Linked DNA regions of Macaca mulatta. Each later gene encodes a partner of the first gene's protein in a complex. Links are inferred from orthologs where the notes say so. Each region holds a gene or a part of one and is shown on either strand. Other genes may lie near its edges. The genes, in order: CDHR5 and ANKS4B.

Evidence for each region.
Region 2: CDHR5 (region 1) and ANKS4B share a complex: the UniProt entries of both Homo sapiens proteins name them as parts of the IMAC/intermicrovillar adhesion complex. The link is inferred for Macaca mulatta from reciprocal best matches to the Homo sapiens genes CDHR5 and ANKS4B.

Annotation. Positions count from the first base shown.
Region 1 is NC_133419.1:511,448-514,503, forward strand, and holds the end of CDHR5 (cadherin-related family member 5), read right to left. Parts: coding exon 2,891-3,056; intron 2,738-2,890; coding exon 2,624-2,737; intron 2,541-2,623; coding exon 1,967-2,540; intron 1,505-1,966; coding exon 1,338-1,504; intron 1,163-1,337; coding exon 737-1,162; 3' UTR 642-736; downstream 1-641. UniProt on the Homo sapiens protein: Intermicrovillar adhesion molecule that forms, via its extracellular domain, calcium-dependent heterophilic complexes with CDHR2 on adjacent microvilli. Thereby, controls the packing of microvilli at the apical membrane of epithelial cells.
Region 2 is NC_133425.1:21,170,698-21,174,265, reverse strand, and holds part of ANKS4B (ankyrin repeat and SAM domain-containing protein 4B), read right to left. Parts: intron 1,005-3,568; coding exon 1-1,004. UniProt on the Homo sapiens protein: As part of the intermicrovillar adhesion complex/IMAC plays a role in epithelial brush border differentiation, controlling microvilli organization and length. Plays a role in assembly of the complex.

The DNA.
Region 1 (3,056 bases):
GTGCTGACGACCCACAAGGGACCCCTTGATGGTTCTGGGCATGGGTGGCCAGCCTGGGCTCTGGCCTTGGGAGAAGCGACCGGGAGGTGTCTCTCACCCCTAGGCCTCCTGGTCCGGCTCCTGCTCAGGCCACTCGCGCGCACCGACCCCCGCGTGCCTCAGTGCAGGCCTCTGGGTGGGTGTTTAATGCTGCGCCCCAACCCAACCATGTAGATTTCAGAAGGGGACTAGGACCCCCAGCCCGGCAGATGTTTGAGACCACTGGCTTCCAAGCGCATCGTCTTGGGGATTTGCGTTGGCTCTTCAGCCTCCCCAGGCAATCTCTGTGTCGGGTCGGGAGTGGTAGGTCTGAGTTGAGCGGGTGCCTGAGATCCCCAGTGCAGACTGGGGGAGGGGAGTGCCCTCTCCGGCTGTGGTGAGAGCAGGAGAGGAACTTCGCGGGCCAGCTGGCGCGGAGCCTCGGGAAGACGGCGGGCACAGCAGGTGGTTTACGGGAAGCGTTGCAGCCTTCGGGTGGGGACAGCGCGGCGGGACCCGCCACCCCCGTCTGCACACCCGGGCTCGAGCGCCGAGGACGATGGGGGACGCGAGCAAATGGGGCCCGCACGGACCCGCGCGCCCGCCCCACGCCACGGCCTGGGTTTGGGGAGCCTTGCTTTATTCTGCCTTGGGTCGGGGGTTAGGGGAGCGGGACCTCTAGCGCCCGCGCGGCCGGGGAAGAGGGTGGAGGGGCCGCTTAGATGTACGAGTCATCGCCGCCGGGCTCATCGTGGGGACCCCTGCCAGGCCCCGCGCCCTCGCCCTCGTCGCCGCTGCCGGAGTCGCTGGCGCCATCCACGTCCAGGGTGGGCGTGTTGAGAACGACCACGTCTGCCTCCGCCCCGATGTCCTCGCCGAACCACACGGCCTTGTACCCGCCCTCCGGCCGCCGCTCCTTCGTCAGGATGGACCTCACCGCTGCGGGGCTTCCCCCGGCTACGGCCGCTGCCGGGGCCTCAGGGGCACTGCCCGAGGGCGCGGGGCCAGGGGGCGCGGGCTCCGCGGGCGTCGGCGGTGCCTCCGCGGGCTTGGCGTCGCTCGTGGGGCTGGGGGCAGGCGCCCAGTTGGCCTCGTCGTCAGGGAGGAACGCCTGGTTGTCATAGCCTGAGGGCTGGGGTTCCTGCTAGCAGGAGTGAAGGCGTCAGCGGGGTCCCTGGGTCTCTGCTGCCTTGTGGCCTCTCCACACCCTCATTCCACGGTGGACACCCCTCCGCCTCCACATATTCCCCTCTGCCCTCCCCTCTCCTGTCCCCCACTCCCTGCGGGTCGCCTGCCCTGCCCTCCACCCTGGGCCTCACCGGAGCTTTGCCGGAGCAGCACTTGAGCCGGGAGCCGTAGTGCTTGTGGACAAGGACAGTGAGGCCAAGGAGAGCCAGCAGCAGCAGTGCACCCAGCACCCCACCCAGGGCTGCCATGTCCACCACTGAGAAGCGCTTGTCCTCCGAGGGGCCGCCACCTGGCATCGCTGTGGAAAATGCCATCACCCCCGCACTGTTGAGCACCCCAGGCATTCCCCATGCCAACCTGTGCCAGGCTTGAGACACTTGGAAATCACCCAGGCCTGGGCTGTCTCCCAAATCTCAGGCTCTGCTGACCCTGGCTGGAGGGGCCTGTGTGTCCCAGTGAGACCCTGGGCTCCCCCCCCCCAACAAAGAGGCTGCTCACAGGAGGGGCAGGGGCCTGCAGGGTGAGCCGGCAGCTGTGGGAATCATGGGATTCGTTGGACCCCAAATCTGGCTTCTGTCCTACACACATCACAGTTCACCTCACTGAGGGCCTTTGGCCTGTCTGTGTCTGTCAGTCCCAAACAGACCCCTCTGGGATTTCATAGTCAGGCCAGGTCAGCCTGGGGTGGACCCTTCCTACAGCATTTCCCTACCACCCAGTGATCTGAGCCAGGGAGGGAAGGCAACGGAGTGGGTGCTACCTGAGGATGGGGTGTTCCTGCTGGGGGGCATCGGCAGAGAGGTTCCTGGCTCTGGGGTCTGAGCTGTGCCACCACCGGGTGTGGCTGGTTGGTGGGATGTGCTGGTTCCCACACCGGGGGGCATCGGCTGAGAGGTTCCTGGCTCTGGGGTCTGAGCTGTGCCACCACCGGGTGTGGCTGGTTGGTGGGACGTGCTGGTTCCCACACCGGGGGGCATCGGCTGAGAGGTTCCTGGCTTTGGGGTCTGTGCTGTGCCGCCACCGGGTGTGGCTGGTTGGTGGGAGGTGCTGGTTCCCACACCGGGGGGCCTCCCGGGTGTGGACGAGGTTGGTGGCCTCAGAGTTGTGCCAGAGGGTGGATGAGGGCCTGTGCCTCCCCCAGAGCTGGTTGTGGAGGGTCCCTGGGAGGGCACAGGGGGTCTGGGGGCCTCGGAAGTGGTGCTGGTCCAGGGCCCAGTTGTTCCTCCAGTCTCTGGGGATGGGGGCTCACCTGTGGAGGGGGGCTCCTGTTCGGAAACTTGTATCTCAATGACTGTGGTCGCAGTGCCAGAGGTCACTGTATTTTTGGCCTCAACCTAGGGCAGGAAGGGGCTTGTCTCTCCTGGGCACGTCTTTAAGCCCCACACCCTTGGAGATGCCCACCTGCCCTGCCCTTCACCTCTGCGTAGAAGGCCCCCGCCTGGGTCAGTGTGGTGGTGGTCAGCACAACCTCTCCCTCCATCCGGAAATGTGAGTGGTTGGTAATTCGATACGTGATGGCCGAGTTGAGGTCCTGGACAGGGTTTCATTGAGTCCCCGGCCAGGCTGCCTCCCATCTGCAGCCCTGACCCACCCACAGAGGGGAGGCCGGGTGGACCCAGGGACCCTGGGCAACAGGAAGGCTGCCGTGGGGGCGGCAGGCATCAGCCTTGCGTGTGCTACCTACCGAGAACTCCGGGTCCCGAGCCTGGACCCTCAGAGGCTGAGAGGGGGCAGCTGCATCCTTGACCACAACACCTGCTCCAGCGCCAAGTGCCACGGTGCCACGGTACAGGCTCTGGGGGAAGCGGGGCGGGCTCCCGGCTGCAGCCACAGCCTCCACGGTGACCTGG
Region 2 (3,568 bases), on another chromosome or scaffold:
CCAGCTGCATTTGTATGCTCTGAAGGTCCTCATCAGAGCAGAGCAGCAGAGCTTCTAGATCAATCTGCTCTCTCTTAAAGATAGGCAGGAATTCTTCCAGGTGCTGAGACAGCAAGAACACTTCCAGGGGCGTGGCATCGACCACATCTTCCTCCCACTCCACTTCATCCTCACCCCATGGTAGATCATCTTTGAGGCTGTTTTCCTCTTCCTCTTCATCAGCTATACCCTCATCAGTCTCTGATGTTCCTTGTGTTTGAAACAATTCACTGGGCAGTTTAAAACCCAACTCCCTCTTGCTATCTGAGATGTCTTCAGGACTCAATATCCTGTTCCTTCTAAAAACAATACTTCCTAGACCTGGACGATTGAGAATGGATTCATGGCGCACACTGCTGTCCTCCTCTGCTGACAACTGGAGCTTCTCTTTGAAGTCCCCTGAGAATGAGTCTTCCTCTTCCTCTCTGAACACTTCCATCACGTTCCTCTGCCCACTTCTGCCTTCCTTCCCCACCTGTTCTGCTGTATTGTTGTTCTTTTTGAACTTGATCTTGAAAGTATCTTTAATGCCCTTAGATAGTGACCCGAATGTGCCAGGAGCAGAAGCATTTGAAGGGAATGACCTGGAGAAGGTACCCTTGGAAGAAGAGACAGTCCCAGACTCCTCCTTGCTGTAGGTGCGGGCCATCTTATTTTGGTGCTTCTCCTGGAGCCTCTCACACTCTTTGATCTGCCTCCTGGCATTCTTCTGAGCCTGCTCCTTCAGCCTGGTGACCTTCTTGGGGTTCATGATGTTCTGCGCAGTGGCAGCCTTGTCCAGGAGAGCAACACATTCATTCTGCTCCCTGCTGGCAGCAGCATCCAGCGGAGTCTGTAAGTCATTATCCAGGGCAAAGATGTTGGCACCAAAGTTGACCAGGAATGAGACGCAGTGGGCATGGCCATTGGAGGCTGCAAAATGTAGAGGAGTGTTTCCCCAGATGTCACACCTATCAGGGTCCCCTCTAGAAGAGAAAATACAAAAAAATAAATAAACATGTTGGGCATTTTTTTCTGAATTGGGCTCCAACAATTCAAAACAAAAATAAAGAACAAAAGGCATGTTAATGCAAACATGTTCATCCTGACTTGACATTGTTGTAAGATACTGGCTGCAAGTCCAGCTATCTTAGAACCGTCCCATCTTAAAACCACATGGCCAGAAACAGAGTCCATCTCTAACCTGTGTCTCCTTTTTGTTTGTTTCTTTTGTTTTGTTTTGAGACAGGTTCTCACTCTATCTCCCAGGCTGGAGTGGAGTGGTGTGATCACAGCTTATTGGCAGCCTTGACTTCCCAGGCTCAGTTTATTCTCCCCACTCAGCCTCCCGAATAGCTGAGACTACAGGCATGTACCATCACACCTGGCTAATTTTTTGTAGAGACAGGGTTTCACCATGTTGCCAGGTTAGTTGCAAACTCCTGGACTCAAGCCATCTGCTCACCTTGGCGTCCCAAAGTGTTGGGATCACAGGTGTAAGCCACCACACCCGGCTGTGTCTCCTTTTTAGAAGCAAGAAAAACTTTCTAAGAAATTCGCCAGCCAAACAACTTTCTTGTCTCATTGGCCAGCACTGGGTCACATGCCTAAGAGATGTGAAACATAGTACTGTGTTTAACTTAGATCAATTGGATTTTGCCCTGAAACTAGGCATAGGATTGTTCAATGGCTCCTCAAGAAAATAATAAAATCAAAATCCTAATTTGTAGCATGTGCCAATTTCTGTGGTGTAAATACATCCACCATGGCAGATTTCAAGCTACCAATGTGACATCACTAGACACAGAGTTTGGAAGAGATCCACAGTAGCATACCATTATCAACCATTTCCACCAGGTAGATATAATGGACATGAATTACCTTAAGAGATAGGTAAGAGTGAAAGGTATTAAAATAAGTAGAAAGTGAGACTTTTGTGTAACCTTGTTAATATAATTTGTTAAATTAAAGGTTAAACTTTTTTTTTTTTTTTTGAGACGAAGTCTTGCTCTGTCGCCCAGGCTGGGGTACAGTGGTGCGATCTTGGCTCACTGCCTCCCAGGTTCAAGCAATTCTCCTGCCTCAGCTTCCCGAGTAGCTGGGACTACAGGCACCCGCCACAGCACCCAGCTAATTTTTGTATTTTTAGTAGAGACGGGTTTCACCATGTTGGTCAGGCTGGTCTTAAATCCTGATCTCAGGTGATCCACCCGCCTCAGCCTGCCAAAGTACTGGGAGTACAACTGTGAGCCACCACACCCAGCCTGTTATTTTATTTTTAAGAATGGCTATGTTCTCAGAAGCTCAGGCTTATAGTAACCTATGATTGAACCACTGTACTACAGCCTGGGCAACACAGCAATACCCTGTCTTAAAAAAAAAAAAAAAGGCTAGGCTCAGTGGCTCATGCCTGTAATCCCAGCACTGGGAGGATGAGGTGGGAGATTTGCTTGAGGCTGGGCATTCAAGACCAGCTCGGGAAACACAGCAAGACCTGTCTCCATTAAATATTTTTTTAAATAAAAATAATAAAAAGTAAAAAAGAATGGCTATGTTTAACTGCCAAACTTTCTAAAATTTAGAAATAACTGCCAACAAGCTGGTTCCAGCATGCTACTGCTACCCTCCCGAATTGAGTCACATGTGGAGAAATAAATAACTGAACCAAACTCAGTCCCCATCAGCAGAAAAGAAGAAAGAAATGGATGTTGGGGAGGTAGCAAACAGTCCCTGTTATAAACATTTATTCATTAAAAGGGCATTACATCTCTATTTATTTCTCCACTTACTTCCATATGACTATAGGTTCATATAAGTGTGTCATTCTACAAAAGTTTAAGGAGGAATTGAAGATACTATTAGATGGTATTAAGGCCAGAAACCCAATGCCTGGCACAGAACAGGGACATAGTAGGTGCTCCAGTATTTGCGGAATGAATGAAAACCTATTGGAATCCTGCTCAAGGCAGCAAACCGTCCTCTCCTACGAGGACTTGAGTGACAAACAGGAACAGATGAAAAGTCGAGTAACTTTTTTTTAATGATGTCCAGAGCCATGCACCACTGCTGAGAACCCTAATACATATACTAAGGGGTCCTTCCTTTGCCCTAGTCTAGACTCCAAAATCAGGATCTCACTAAACTCTGGCCAGCCTGGCCCCATGGAAAGAGGACAGTGAGTCTGAGAAGTCCTCTTAACATTCCCAGGAGGTAGAAGGCAGAAGCAGAAGAGAAGATCTGCACCCTTGAAAATGACCTGTTAGTGCGCCATGACCCTTCTACTAGTTCCTGGCTGCTCAAAGTTTGGTCTCCAGACCAGAAGCATCACCTGTGAGTTTGTTAGAAGTTCAGAAGACTCTCACGCCTGAAATCCCAGCACTTTGGGAGGTCGAGGCGGGTGGATCACGAGGTCAGGAGTTCAAGATCAGCCTGGCCAACATTGTGAAACCCTGTCTCTATTAAAAATACAAAAATTAGCTGGGCATGGTGGCATGCACCTGTAATCCCAGTTACTCAGGAGGCTGAGGCAGAAAATTGCTTAAACCCAGGA